Xenopus tropicalis: one gene and its partners. The protein of the gene in region 2 binds, or shares a complex with, the protein of the main gene of each other region. Links are inferred from orthologs where the notes say so. Each region holds a gene or a part of one and is shown on either strand. Other genes may lie near its edges.

The links. The genes of interacting proteins can lie anywhere in the genome.
Region 1: tada3 (region 2) and taf4 share a complex: the UniProt entries of both Homo sapiens proteins name them as parts of the TFTC-HAT complex. The link is inferred for Xenopus tropicalis from reciprocal best matches to the Homo sapiens genes TADA3 and TAF4.
Region 3: tada3 (region 2) and wdr5 share a complex: the UniProt entries of both Homo sapiens proteins name them as parts of the ADA2A-containing complex. The link is inferred for Xenopus tropicalis from reciprocal best matches to the Homo sapiens genes TADA3 and WDR5.
Region 4: tada3 (region 2) and kat2a share a complex: the UniProt entries of both Homo sapiens proteins name them as parts of the STAGA transcription coactivator-HAT complex. The link is inferred for Xenopus tropicalis from reciprocal best matches to the Homo sapiens genes TADA3 and KAT2A.

The regions. Positions count from the first base shown.
Region 1 is NC_030686.2:4,364,511-4,368,608, forward strand, and holds the end of taf4 (transcription initiation factor TFIID subunit 4), read right to left. Parts: intron 3,871-4,098; coding exon 3,745-3,870; intron 2,869-3,744; coding exon 2,812-2,868; intron 2,724-2,811; coding exon 2,604-2,723; intron 2,150-2,603; coding exon 1,982-2,149; 3' UTR 501-1,981; downstream 1-500. UniProt on the Homo sapiens protein: The TFIID basal transcription factor complex plays a major role in the initiation of RNA polymerase II (Pol II)-dependent transcription.
Region 2 is NC_030680.2:138,580,975-138,585,169, forward strand, and holds the start of tada3 (transcriptional adapter 3), read right to left. Parts: upstream 2,801-4,195; 5' UTR 2,613-2,800; intron 2,513-2,612; 5' UTR 2,371-2,512; intron 411-2,370; 5' UTR 393-410; coding exon 186-392; intron 1-185. UniProt on the Homo sapiens protein: Functions as a component of the PCAF complex. The PCAF complex is capable of efficiently acetylating histones in a nucleosomal context. The PCAF complex could be considered as the human version of the yeast SAGA complex.
Region 3 is NC_030684.2:8,192,365-8,195,864, forward strand, and holds part of wdr5 (WD repeat-containing protein 5), read right to left. Parts: intron 3,292-3,500; coding exon 3,236-3,291; intron 1,950-3,235; coding exon 1,903-1,949; intron 1,814-1,902; coding exon 1,738-1,813; intron 494-1,737; coding exon 460-493; intron 1-459.
Region 4 is NC_030686.2:6,944,232-6,947,731, reverse strand, and holds part of kat2a (histone acetyltransferase KAT2A), read right to left. Parts: intron 2,210-3,500; coding exon 2,066-2,209; intron 1,562-2,065; coding exon 1,447-1,561; intron 1,339-1,446; coding exon 1,302-1,338; intron 602-1,301; coding exon 538-601; intron 1-537. UniProt on the Homo sapiens protein: Protein lysine acyltransferase that can act as a acetyltransferase, glutaryltransferase, succinyltransferase or malonyltransferase, depending on the context.

The DNA.
Region 1 (4,098 bases), on a different chromosome or scaffold from region 2:
AGTTTGGATACAGGAACCTCCGAAAATAGAAAGAACCAATTAGTATATATTTTATTTTTAGTTTTTATTTTTTTTTTTTTATAATAAAAAAATAGATACAAAGAAGGGCGATTTTTTTCTGCTGTGGCGACGGAGGGTGGGGGAGGGGCTTGCCCCCAGAGCTTGCATACTGTTAATAAACCAAAAAATGATGGATTTACAGAATAATTTATGGTAGGATTGTGGGTAATGAGGTGCTACAAATTATCTACAGTGACTATGGAAACACCGGGGCTTCTATTGGTTCTGCCGTCGAATAGAGAGAAAGAAAAAAAGGGGGCGGAGCACTCGTCTTGGGTAGAAAAAAAAAAAAAACCCCAAAATATTTAAAACCTAAAACAGTGCAAAAAATATATATATTTATGCCATATACACTTTAATAAAAACCTCTCTTTGCCCCGGGGGGGCGGGGACACAATCGCTCACTTCCTGTACAGGTTAAAAACACTTTTTTTTTTTTCTTTAACGGTGGAAAATAATGATTTTTGTTTAAACAGAGGTTATTTTGGATATATATATATTTATATATAGGAAACAAAAAAAAACAAATATTAGAAATGCTGCTAAAATAAAGGCAAAGGGAGTGACGTTATAGTGAAAGCGATAAAAATCAATAAATACGGGACGGGGGGGGGCGGAGTCTCTGCCATCTGCAAAAAGAATCTGATGCAGGGAGTTGTTAACCCCCCCCTTGCTGTAAGCAGAGAAGGGGTTAAAGGAAAGGGGGAATTAAAAAAAATCACTGGCAGGGTTGGGGCACCGGATTGGCACCCCCAGTGATAGTAGCTGGTCACCTCCTGCCCTGGACTGGGGCAAATAGTCTTCAAAAAGACACAACAGTCTGGGGTACTTTATCCTTGGACTGGGGCTGCTACCCCTGGGGGCCCCCAAAACCAGCACCTCCCCCTTCTCAGGGGAGGGGAGTGGTGGGGCCCACTGGGTTTCCCCCAGGGTCCAGCTGACCCTGCCGCCATGTTTTCTGACCTGGAAGGACAGACTCACACTCAGCAAGGGCGGCCGGGGGATCCAAAATGGCTGCCAGGTACCAAAATGGTTGACAGTATGTGGTTTGGTACCGAACAGGCTGACCCAAAACTGACATTGGTTGCCATTCTACCCCCCAACAGTGAATAGAACTTTCCTTATGCAGCTGGGCTCCCCCCATCACTCACATCAGTGGGACAGTGTCCCCGTGCCCCACCCACCCCCCTCTGATGTCACCAAATAGGGCGGGGTCGCGTTCGGGTCTTTCAATCCCTTTTCAAGCTCGGCTCGGGCCCAGGATGAGAAGGGAGGACATGATTAATATTCAGTATAAAGTACCCCGGGCCGGTGCATTTGCATTGGCCTGGGGTAGGAGGTGAGCAATAAGAACCCCCTAAGGGGGCGGAGTTTTACCTAACAGCGCGTCACAGCCCCAGTGAGTTTAGGTTTACTTGCCCTTTAACAAGATTGATAAAACCGTACATAATAAAAAGAAAACCCTGATAACTCGGTACAGATCAGTGAAAACAAGTGCAGCACGGGGGGCCGGGGGGGCTCGGACGGTGGCAACGAGCAATCTCTCTATGGCTTGGATTTTTGCAGAAGGCAGTTTTCAACCTTGATTTGGATTTTTCCACATAATAATAATAATAATAAAAAATACAAAGACGATGCAGAACAAAAACGAGTCTTTTTCGCTCCTCGTTGGCGGCTGTGATCCTGCCCCGTCGGCGAAGGGTTAACGTGGTCTAATGGGGTTGGTTGGCATCGGCGGCGCCATCTTCAAACCATTATTGTCTCCAACAGACGATGAAGGAACAGGAAAAAATAAAAAGTTCTGCAGACGTGTCCGGCGAGAAGGGAGGGGGGGGCGCCTCTTTGAGGGGCAAAAATAAAAACCGACAGATAATGAACAAAAATACCTTGATCTTTCCCATTTTGTGGAGTTCTGTGAGTCTCACTTAAGGAATGCTTTGTATAGCAATAGTGAATGGCTTGTCTCTCGCTCGCTCTCCAAGCATAAAATGAGGTCCCTGAGATTGACCCGCGTTATCCTTTGTCGTGTAAACTGTCGGCTGCCCCCTCCCGCCGAACTGCTGGCCGTGGCGGTACTTGTGCTGGACGACTGGCGGGAGAAAGAAAAGGGCAAGTTAAGCCGCGGTAAGTATCCCTTATAATACATGAGTGATACTCAGAGTTCCCTGTATAACTCAGCCTGCAGCCTTGTGCCTTTATATGGGGGGCACAGAACCCCTCAGTGACTGCTAATATCCTTATCATTTACAGTAGGGGGTACATTATCCCTTATAATACATGAGTGATACTCAGAGTTCCCTGTATAACTCAGCCTGCAGCCTTGTGCCTTTATATGGGGGGCACAGAACCCCTCAGTGACTGCTAATATCCTTATCATTTACAGTAGGGGGTACATTATCCCTTATAATACATGAGTGATACTCAGAGTTCCCTGTATAACTCAGCCTGCAGCCTTGTGCCTTTATATGGGGGGCACAGAACCCCTCAGTGACTGCTAATATCCTTATAATATACAACAGGGGGCGCATTACATATACACTGACCTCTGAACCAGAACCAGGGCCCGGTGATTCAACTTTCCTCTTTTTTCGAGGGCCAATAGCTGCTAGCGCTGTTAAGTTGGCGTCTCTCTGCCTCATTTGTGCCAGTTCCTGCTGTTGCATCTATGGAAGGAGAAGAAGATGTATTTAATCCTTACCCTCGGTATTTGGGGGTACGGTTGGTACGGCTATATCCAATCAACGCACTCACCTCTTTCGCCTTCTGTTTTAACCGCAACTGTTCTGGATCCTCCTGCCTTGACCGAGACTGCGCAAGGGGCAAAAAAATGAACAATATGTCAGTTTCTACCAATAAACAGTCCTGAAGGAAAATCCTGAAAGCCCAGAATTCCACTGACCCCCAAATTCTCAGCAACTTTTCCATTGGTCTTCATTATTTATTTATAATCGTTTTTGAATTATTTGTCTCTGCCTCTCTAGAGCTTTAAAATGGGGGGGGGGGGGGTCACTGACCCCGGCAGTCAAAAAACTATTGCTCTGTGAGGCCACTCTGTATTCAGGTTCTATCCTCTATCCATATACCAGTCTCTGATTCGAACCACACACTGGTTGCCAAGGTAATTAGGACCCTAGCAACCAGTTACTGAAACAAAGTGAAATCATTAAAAAACAAATAAAAAAAATGAAGACCAATGGTCTCAGAATATTACTCTCTACGTCGTACTAAGAATTAAGTCAAAGGAAAACGTGACTGCACCATGGATTAAAGGGAAAATAAACCAGATATCAAAGCAGGGGTTAAACACTCTACTGACCTGGTGATGTTATGGTATAAGGATATTCAGGGAGCCCGATCAGTCTGCATATTAGGCTGAACACACAAGGGGCTACTTAGTAGCAGCTACTAAAACAGACAATAATGATCATTTACTGATAATTGCCCCTATGTGTGTTTAGCAGAGGCAATTCTCAGTATTGTCTATGGCAGGGGATTTTCTGGCGTTTAGTAGTCGTGACAAGTAGCTGCTACTAAGTAGCTCTGTGTGTCTTCATCCTTCGTGTTTCTTCATATTAGTGGAAACAGCCATGATTGAGGCATACAGAAGTACAATAGGAAAACAGTGCCCCCTAGCGGCCGCAGAGCATAAAGCCTTGGATACTTTGGATAATGAAAGGCACTGACCTTAGCTGCCCGCATTAGAATCTCCCGCTCCTGCTCGTCTTTCCTCTGCTTCTCTATCTGATCGAGCTGCTCGAAGAATTTGAGTTGTGTCCGTACGTCACTTGTTTGTTCATACCGATCGTCATCCTGGCAAAGGGACGGGGGAAACAGTGAACACAATGAACCCGTTTGCAACTTGTTACAGCTTTCTGTCATAGAGGAGCTACCATAGCGCTTCCCTTAGATTGGGATCCCCATTCTTTTTTTACTCTTGATCATGAAAAAGGTTCTTTGGGGCTTCCACATAAGGGCTGTGATTGGCTCTTTAGTAGCCACCCAGTGGCTCTGCTTGGAGTAAAACTGTGTCTCTGGGCT
Region 2 (4,195 bases):
ACAATAAATATAACGGGCAGCATATGCAGCATTTTGCCATCTGAAGATTTATACCAACTCAAACCTATAGACATTCCTACTGGGCATGAAACCCTCCTACACAAGGGCATATTCCTTCATGCCAAGTACACTGGGCAGCCACTGCTGAGGGACGGGTGCTCTACATTTAACCCCCTGATTTTTACCTGGGTCTCCGCTTCCAGAACACGGAGCCTCCTGCTTGCAGAGGACAGTAGGGTTTCCAGCTCCAGCTGAAGGGTATCCAGCTCCTCAATCCCGATTCCGTCATCCTCGGAGCGGGACAGAACTGCGGTGTATCTGGGGCACAACTTGACATGGTCCACAGATTTGAAGTCATGGAACTGGAGAGGGCAATCCTTTAACTCGCTCATTCTGCCAAGGCTGGCGGCCTGCAACAAAGAATAATACAAAAGGTTAAGATAATTTTTTTTTTAGAATACAACCTCTGCATTATTTGAGTGCAAGCCCTTTTTCTCTATTTAGTGCGCTGAAGAATCTACTGTTGGACCTAGGCCAACTCCCATCAGCCCCTTATTTCCACCTAGCCATATACAACACCTATAACATTGTTTTGTTTTAAAAGGGGGCCCTATGGAGGGCCAAGTCTGACCCTGGTCTAATATGATACACCAGCAAAAATGCAAGAGCTCAAAAATCCCCCCTCTGAAATAAACAGCGAATCCCTTCTTAAACCTAGAATACATGCATATGTTGCACCAACACAAATGTATGCAACCATACTCTGCAGCACCAATAGGCAACAAGCCATACCACATGTGCATACTGTTCACCAATGCTGTAATGCAGGTGAATGCGGTACCCCCAATACACTAAGATGAATATATCATCTATACTCTGCAGCACTAATGCACGTGTATATTGTTCTGTACCCCAAAATACCAGGACTGTCTGTGCACCTATAGCCTGCAGCACTAATGCATTTGTATATTGCAGCCTTCATACCCTGCAGCACTAATACATGTGTATATTACAGCCTTCATGTACCCATACCCTGCAGCACAAATGCATTTGTATATTTTAGCCTCCATACCCTGCAGCACTAATGCATGTGTATATTGCAGCCTCCATACCCTGCAGCACTAATGCATGTGTATATTGCAGCCTCCATACCCTGCAGCACTAATGCATGTGTATATTGCATCCTCCATACCCTGCAGCACTAATGCATGTGTATATTGCATCCTCCATACCCTGCAGCACTAATGCATGTGTATATTGCAGCCTCCATACCCTGCAGCACTAATGCATGTGTACATTGCAGCCTCCATACCCTGCAGCACTATGCAGCACTAATGCATGTCTACATTGCAGCCTCCATACCCTGCAGCACTAATGCATGTGTATATTGCAGCCTCCATACCCTGCAGCACTAATGCATGTGTATATTGCAGCCTCCATACCCTGCAGCACTAATGCATGTGTATATTGCAGCCTCCATACCCTGCAGCACTAATGCATGTGTATACTGCAGCCTCCATACCCTGCAGCACTAATGCATGTGTATACTGCAGCCTCCAAACCCTGCAGCACTAATGCATGTGTATATTGCATCCTCCAAACCCTGCAGCACTAATGCATGTGTATATTGCATCCTCCATACCCTGCAGCACTAATGCATGTGTATATTGCAGCCTCCAAACCCTGCAGCACTAATGCATGTGTATATTGCATCCTCCAAACCCTGCAGCACTAATGCATGTGTATATTGCATCCTCCAAACCCTGCAGCACTAATGCATGTGTATATTGCAGCCTCCAAACCCTGCAGCACTAATGCATGTGTATAGTGCAGCCTCCATACCCTGCAGCACTAATGCATGTGTATATTGCAGCCTCCATACCCTGCAGCACTAATGCATGTGTATATTTTAGCCTCCATACCCTGCAGCACTACTGCATGTGTATATTGCAGCCTCCATACCCTGCAGCACTAATGCACAGCCAGCTGTAATGGCCGGCCATACTGTACCCCAATGCCCCAGTACTATTGATAAGTGCACCCATACCCCCAATGCACAACAGGCTATAGGGCAGGTGTATACTGTATGCCTATGCAGGAGCAGTAACACTATGCACCTGTGCCCTGGGGTAGGGGTTATTACTAATAACCCCTTATGTACAGGTAACTGCTCTCCAGTTGCTGCAGAACTGGCGCTTTGCGAAAGGGGCGGCTGGGAGTTGTAGTCCTATTCTATTACAGCAGGGGAGTAAACGTATTTAGTAGCCTATGGCTACCAAATGACGCATTGTTACAGGTACTCTCCGCATATAACGCAAGCACTGAGCCCCCACGCACGGTATATACCGACACCACACAATATGCCCGTACCCACACTCCGGCCTGGCCCCCTCAATGGATCCTGCTCCTGCGCTCGTTTCCTTTGTCTCCCAACGGCCAGTAGGGGGCAGAGCCAAGCTCCTCACGCAAGGCCGCCACTGTCACCGCCTGTCAGTCACCCGGGAGCGTACCACTGCGGAAAAACAAATAGGGGTGTCAGTAAATGGGGAACAACTAATAAGGCTGGAATAGGCCGTTGAGCACAATAACCCGTTCTTAGGGAACGTTCTTACCACAAGCGCCTAATGGGTTCACGTCCACAAGGCACAATCTCTTTTAAGCACCCATTTTGTGCCCCGATGGAATCAACCATAGAGAAGAATCGTACTTGGCGCGCAATGGCGGCATTGGGAAGGCTTAGCCTGTGGGCTCCCGTAGTATTACTATTGATGTGCAGCTGTGATAGATCCGCAGGTATCTGGTATCATAAGCCTCTAGCAGTCGTGATAACAATCTCTCTCATGAATACCTTGTAAGAAATTTCTCCCGGTCGCTCATGTTCTGTTTGTACACCCCCTAAACCCCACTTTGGTCTGACCCGCCTGCATTCCACATTCCCTAATATGGCGTGAAGCGGGGCGAGCCGGACCATTTTCAAGAGGAGGGTGCACACCGGGTAAATTCATATAGTATTGCTTTTTATACGTATATGAGAATAATAATGTAACAAGAACGGAACTGAGATATGCTTATGTGTATATCCACAGCCCAAGCGGCTAAATTAATCTACATGGTTTAAGTATAAATGTTCGCCCAACCCCAGTTTATGATGGTTTAGTCCGACCGCTGGCTGTGCCAGTGAGGGGGAAGAGAGGTAGTGCGCATGTGCGAGTCTGTCACTTCCGCTATCGGGGGATACCGGAGCGATGGTGAGTGTGAGGGGCGGGGGGTTTTACGGAGAAATTGACACGAAAGAGCGACAACAGTCCGGGATAGAGAACCGGGCTATAGGCCGCCTGTGTTTGCCATGCTAAGCCCGTGGGTCGAGCAGGGAGCGGTGCAGGGGCGGCTTAGGGAACCGGTCTTGGGCGGGGGCCCGGCGTAGGAATGTTCATAAGACGCGGTGTATTCCTTACATTCATACAGTGATCCCTCTGTAATACTAAGGAAGACTGTGCGGAACTACAACTAAACGTCCTTCCCATAGGGGATTAAGCGAATCCCTCCATAGGCATTGCCTGCCTGACATCTGTATAGTGAGAGCTGCAGTTCCGCAACACTCGCCCAACCTGTAACTGCCTGTTGGCACTGCCACCGGCGGGACTTTCATTTTATTCAGCTTTAAGGCAATGTATGTGCTAGTGAGAGCGGGGTTTGCTCCATTCTCTCTGATTCCTGCACTGCCGGCTCTCACTATTGACACTTTGTATCTGAAGCCAGCTGAGGCATTGCCCATACACGCAGCAGGAGAGCTTGGCTTCTGCTACATTGTTGTAAGAGTGAGAATAACCTTGATTGCTTTTTAATTGCAATGACTGCTAATAGACAGTTGGCTAGGCAACATTTCAATTCTGGGATTACTTCCCCTTTAAAATATGTGGGTGTCTTTACTGGAGCAAGAACTGTCCTTTGGGCAGGTTGTGAGTTTCTACTTATGATTGACTGGTTTTGTTTATTTTCTTATCACTGGCTTGCCCATAGCACTTGTGTATCTTGAGCAGGGATCCCCAACCTTTTTGTTTTTACCTGTGAGCCACAGTCAGATGTAAAAAGAGTTGGGGAGCAACACAAGCCTAAAAAATGTCAATCCAAATATAGAGGAGAGCACCATAAAGCAGAATTCTGCTCAAATGCTATTTATTTCAGACCAAAATAC
Region 3 (3,500 bases), on a different chromosome or scaffold from region 2:
ACAAGGCACTGAGATGGCGCCTACACACCAATATTACAGCTACAAATACATTTGTTGGTACAAGAATAAAAGGTTAAATGGCAGAGGGAATTATTTTCTGCGTAACAGTGTCATTTAGAAATAAAAAGTGCCCCATAAATACCATGGCAGTATCCCTTTATAAAGGGAACAGCCAGCTTTCTTCGGGGAAACGGAATCCAGTAAGGGAACAAACTGGACCCAAATAACCCAAGCCTAATGTGGCTAAAATTAAACAAACACAGAAGGACCAGTCAGCTAAGGCTAATTTTAGAACTGGAACATTTGTAACCAATTAGAGCAAGATAACTGAGAGCATTGGGGGGGGGGGGGGGCAAATACTAGTCTTCTGTGGTTTTTCATGAACAAAATAAAGTCTAATTACTATTTGTTCAGGGGTAAAAATAAAGTGCTGGCAGCTGGAGCATCAGTCACACTCACCTTCCCTTTGCTGTAATCCCACAATTTGAGTGTACTGCAAAGACAAAACAGGTAACATGATAAGGATCTCACCTTGAACAGGAGAAACGGGCAAAAAGATCTTTCTAATTCCTATTTGCCAAGATACTGTGAGAAGGGAGTGGCTATCTCTCAAAAATGGACAATGGCTTCTAAGAGGAGCATTGCAGCTCCCTGAATGTTTGATTTGTGACCAATTTCAATTTGTGCCCTATTCCTAGCAACTTTGCAATTGGCCTTCATTATTTATTTATTGTATAGTTTTTGAATTATTTGCCTCCCTTGTACATCTTCCAAACGTGGGCCACTGACCCCAGCAGAAAGGAAATTTTTGCTTCGTGAGCTTACAATTTTCTGGTTCATTTTTATTCCTTATCTTTATATTCATATCCTGTCCTATTCCTAATCCTGTCTCTCATTCAAACCACTGCCTGGTTGCTAAGGTAAACACGACCATAGCAACCAGATAGATGCTGAAATTCCAAACTGGAGAACTGCTGAACAGAGGCTAAATAACGGGAAAATTTCAACCAATTCAAAATTGTCTCAGAGTATCAATGTCTACAACACACTAAGAGCTAATTTATAGGTGAACTACCCCTTTAAACAGCACCCCTAGGGACCAATGCAATGCAGACCAATAATATTGAAGCTTTGTACCATTATTGGTACATACACGATGACCTGCAGATCCATGTACTTTTGGTATCTGTCCATCAAGAAATTTTATTTGCCGATCCCCCACGTCGGCTACATATTGATTAGCTACAGCTCTTCTTTACTTTCCGCAGTTCTAATCATTAGTGAGCTCTGCATAAACAAACTGAACACTCACCATCCGTTTGGCTATTGGGCCGATTGGGTAGAGAGCCATTACCAGTCAAGCCCATGTACGGCTGCATTTAAACAGTATTTGCCTTCAGGTTAACTTTCGTTATGTTATAGAATAGTATTTTCTTAATATGTTTTCAATTGGTCTTCATTTTATTATTTGTTATAGTTTTTGAGTTATTTGCCTTGTTCTTCTGACTCTTTCCAGCTTTCAAATGGGGGTCACAGTCAAAAAACTATTGCTCTGTGCGGCTATAATTGTGTTGTTACTTCTTATTATCATCATCATCATCTATTTAGGCCCTCCTCTATTTATATTCCTGTCGCTTTCAAACCGCTGCCTGGTTGCTAGGTTAAATTGGACCCTAGCAACCAGACAGCTGTTGAAAATCCTTTCAGTGTCGGTAATGCCTTTGCAGTGCTACTTACTTGTCTAGGGTTGCTGCTAAAATGTATTTGCCGTTGGGAGAAAACTTCACAAAAGATACTGGAGGATTATCGTCATCTAAAAAGGATGAAAAGGAGAATTACGTTTAAATATGAAACTGGACAAAAATAAATAAGGACAAAACAATAAATAAATAAGCCACGTACCAATGAGTGTTTTCAAACACTGTCCTGAGGCTGTGTCCCATATTCGGCTAAGATTAAAAGGCAACAAAACATTTACAATTGGAATAAAACACTGCAAATAGATATAAAGAATGCTGATGGTATAAAATGAAGTGCAAGCTCTGTAGGCAGGTTATTGCTGGGGTTCATGCAATTTATTAAGTTTTGAAAAAATCTGTACAGTAAATGTTCTACTAACGGCAAAGTGTAATAAGGTGGTGCCAATCACAATGATTAATTTCACTTTTGATATGTAATAGAATGGCTAATTCTAAGCAACTTTTAAATTGGTCTTTATTTTTTATACTTTTTGAATTATTTCCCTTCTCACTCTTTCCAGCTTTCAAATGGGGGTCACTGACCCCGGCCACCAAAAACCCTATTGCTCTGTGAGGCTCCAGTTTTATTGTTACTTTTTATTCCTTATCTTTCTTTTCAGCCCCTCCCCTATTCATATATCAGTCACACTTTCAAACCATTCCCTGGTTGCTAAGGTAAAGTGGACCCAAGCAACCAGATAACTGCTGAAAATCCAACTCAAAAGTGAACAACCCCTTTTGGAACGACAGCCATTAAATGTGCGAATGGCTTTATTCTTCCCACTTGTTTTACTGTGTATAAATATCGATTCTTCCTTCATATTTTTATTATGTGGTTTTTTTTTTTTTAATCATTTCACTTTTTGTTTAGCAAGACTCCAGTTTGAAACTATAGCAGTTATCTGGTTGCTAGGGTTCAAGTTACCTTAGTAACCAGGGAGGAAGATGAAGAAGAAAGGATCTGAACAGTAAAACGATAAAAATTACATTATGAACTGTAGCCTCAGAGAGCAATTGCTTTTTGGCTGCCGGGGTCAGTGACCCCCCCCCCATTTGAAAGTTGGGGGTCTTTAGAAGAAGGTAAATAATTGGCCGTTCTATAACATACTAAAAAGGTGAACCAACCCTTCAAGGCTTTTATTTTTAAAGACACCTTCCTGGTATAATGTGCCAAGTAGTTTCACCCCAAGAGAGGCAGTTGGGTGCAAGGTAGGGAGGCACCCAATCCAGGAATAGGTTCAGTATTCGGCCGAATCCACGGTCCTGGCCAAACCGATTTGGAAGGGTTAAATGTCACCACGTGAACACGGAAGTGGAAAATGTTTCGCCACGTGCGACATTTAACCCTTCTAATTAGGATTTGGTTCGGTATTCAGCCAATCCCTTACGATGGATTTGGGGGTTTGGTCGAACCCGAAAACCTGGGTTTGGTGCATCCCTAGTGCAAGGGTTTGGGGGGGGGGGGGGACAGCAAAACAAGGGTAAAAGTCGCTCACCACAAACCATCGTAGCTACTGGATACAATGAGGGAACCGTCGCGATTAAAATGCACCTGTAACGGGAGGGGCAGAGAGGTAAATATGAAAGAGCCTGACAGATGCCGATTGAAACCCTTGAGTTCTATTCCCTTGTGGCAAAGAAAAAAAAAATTCTCTCCAGACATAGAAGAGAAACGTGAGAATGTGTTTTCCCATTGGAAACAGTTTGCTGTAATGTGAAACCAAAACAGCAGAGGTGAGAGAACAGAGGGGATAGGGTGGC
Region 4 (3,500 bases), on a different chromosome or scaffold from region 2:
AGAGGGAGTTTCTAGGGCTGTTTAATCAGGTATGGTAAGGGTAATAACCCACAAAGCGGTTCAGTCGCCCGCAATAGATCTTTGAAATGGCTTCCCACTCGCAACAATAGGAGTTGTTGGTGAAAAGCAGTTCGCATTGCTTCAGTTTTCCGAAGTCACACGAAGTTGCTTCAGAAGGAAACTTTGCGCAACTTTGGAATAAAAGTAGAGTGAAAAGCCGAACTTCAACCAAAAAGTCAGCTTTTTCACTCTGCTGCGAATGCATCGGCCCAGGATAGTGAAGCAAGAAGGCAGGAGGAAGATCGCTCCCTCGCAGCTACCCTGGACAGTTGCGGTTTTCTCCCAACCCGGTGTATAAGGTAAGTGATTACAATCACTGGGTAGGGGGGGGGCTAATATTTTGGCACCCCCAAAAGTATGTAATAAGCCCTTGTCTGTATAGCCAGATGACCAACCAAATCTGGCCAAGTATGTGTGTTGTATCGTTTGCCAAGTGGATCAATAGTCAGAAACCATATTCCAAATGCAGTCCCTTACTTTGATTTGTGCTAGAAGGTTCTTCAGGATGTTATACAGCTGGTCTGGGTCTTTAATCTCTTTCCTGAGCACACAGAGAGTATACATTAATTGAAACATATCAAAGCTCATTAGCACTAGTACTACTGCACTGTCAAGATGTGTATAAATGCACCAGGGTAACAGTTATTCACTGATACAGGTATGGGATCCGTTATCTGGGAAACCATTATCCAGAAAGCTTCAAAATACAGGACGGCCTTTTCCCATAGACTCCGTTTTGATCAAATAATTCAAAATGTTATAAATTTTCTTCTCTATATCTTGTACTTGATTTTAACTGAGATAATTTAACTTAATTGGAGGTTAAGCAATTCTAACCAGTTTAATTAATGTTTAAATGATTTTTTTTTTTAGCAGGTATGCAGATTGAAATTACAGGAAGATCCCTTATCCAGAAACCACAGGTCCCAAGCAATCTAGGTAACAGGTCCCATACATGTACTGTCCTTCTCCAACAACCCAAACCCCCTATCCTGAGTAGTGAAAACACATGAAAGTTAAATATCCAGAGGTGCATTAGACACAACACTAGTGAAGCCTTAGCTAATTTAAGTACTTAAGTAATACAAACTATTATTCAAAGATGACAATGAAATAAGGTTGATTATGAAGCAAACTGCCTGTTTCTATTACCTCAATACAGTGTTGTATTATTATAGTAAAACAAACCACATTTGACTGGCTTTCTAGAGGGTGTTAATGGGTAATGTTGTAATACTTACCCTTTGTCTTTACATGCTGGTTTCCAGCCGGTCTCTCCTACAAAAAAAATATAAATACATATTTGACTTATCCTTATTGCCTTTTACTCCGCGTTATTATTATTATGCACTTGTTTTTGGAGATGCTTTACAGTGACCAACTTACGTATTCCGGGAATGCACTCCACTGGGATCTGTCGGAGGCCTTCTTTAAAACACGTAAGGCCAGGATAGACTTTGCGGATCTGAGCGTGCCTGCGTTCAATAAGCTTCTTTATTATCTGCAAAATGAGGGAATGTGATGAAAAAAAAGCCAAGAGTAGAAATCATATAGAGACGTGCTATGGTAAAAGGATATTAAATAATCCAATTATGTCTCTAGAACAGGGGGTGGGCAAACTACAGCCCGCGGGCCACGTCCGGCCCCTTGGTCCGTTTAATCCGGCATGCCGACTCCGCAAGTCTCATCATTCAAGACTTGGCGTCTGGGGACTGACGAGCAGAAACGCCGTAACACTGGCCCGGCGGTAAGTCAATGTGGCCCCTGAGCCAAAAAGTTTGGCCACCCCTGCTCTAGAACAATGTCTGGGGATGTTTAGTGCAAATATTACTTATTTTCATGACAACAGACCCCCTAGAGGCCAATGTTTGACATTATAAGGTCAAATAAGTATAAGTTTGAGCAACTACTATCTTTGCCATCATTCCCAGAAACATATATATTTAGGCATCTTGCCACTATAAAAACAAAAAGCAAAAAACAGCACAAAATGACGCCCATTTACCTCCTTTTGCTTTTTGATTATGTGGGAGAGTTCTGTATAAGGTATTCTGGGGTTCAGTTCACACTCCATTAAAGTGGCTCCCTCGTAATCCTTGATGTACCCCAAGTAACGACTTTTTGGAACTTTGATGTCCTTGGAAAATCCCTGGAAGGACACACAAAAAAAAAAACCTAAGAAAACTAGAAGGGTGACGACGAGTGGATAGAAAGACATACGGAGTAAAAGGCAGGGATACGGAGAATTCATAGGCAGGGCATATAAACCCAAAAATGTATTCTTGGCCAATATAAGAAAACAACTGACATGTTCTAGTGTAGGTGAGTCTCCTACAGCCGTGTCCCAGCTCCCACTCACTTGTGCCCCAAGTACTCATGCATCTAAACCCAGCTATCTTATATTAATTTAAAGATGGTTCTTCCTGAACGATTGTTAAGAGAGGGGTTATCCACCTTCGAGTTAACTTTTAGTCTGATGTAGAGAGTAATATTCTGAGACACTTTGCAATTGGTCTTCATTTTCTACCATTTGTAGTTTTTTAATTATTTCAGGTTTTGGTCAGCAGCTCTACAGCTTGGAGTTTCAGCAGCTATTTGGTTGCTGGGGCCCAAATTACCTTAGCAACCTGGGTGTGCTTTGAATGAAAAAACGATATAGGAATAGGAGATGACCTGAATAGAAAAATAATTAATATAAAGTAACAATAACAAATAAACTGTAGCCTCACAGAGCAATAGTTTTTTTGGCTGCCGGGGGGTCCCATTTGAAAGCTGGAAAGTCAGAAGAAAAAGCAATTGAAAAGTTGCCAAAGGTGAACTTCCCCTTTAACCCTTTTAGTGCCATGGGACGTAGATTCTACGTCCTGGGTAGCAAAGGACCAAAGTGCCACAGGACGTAGAATCTACGTCCTACAGCACTATCAGGTTTACAAGCGCTGCGCTCGCTTTTAAAGCAGCGCAGCGCTTGTAAACCCTTCACAACCCCCTAGGCAACGAGCAGAGACAGTCATACTCACCGATCCGGTCCCACGATCGCGTCGCCAGCCAATGACAGCAGTGGACACGCGATGATGACGTGTCCACTGCTGTCCCTTTAAATAGCGCCGCCTACTGTCGGCTCCTCATTCCTGCTGCGCACTTCGGACCTGATGGAGCTCCCCTGCTGCCTTCCTGCTGCCTTCCTGCCAGATTGGTCGCCCCTGATCGCCTGCCTGCCTTGGGTAAGCTGAACTACAACTCTCTACCACTGTTTATTTTGCTTATTTCGATCTCAACTGTCTAAAAATTTTTTTTTTTTTTTTTTTCAATTTTTTCTTCTATCTTTGTCATTATTACACTTTTGTACACATACACACTTATTTACAACTTTCCCAAGCACACACAGACACTCACACACACACTTACACTTACACTTTTTTTTTTTTTTTTCTATCTTTCTT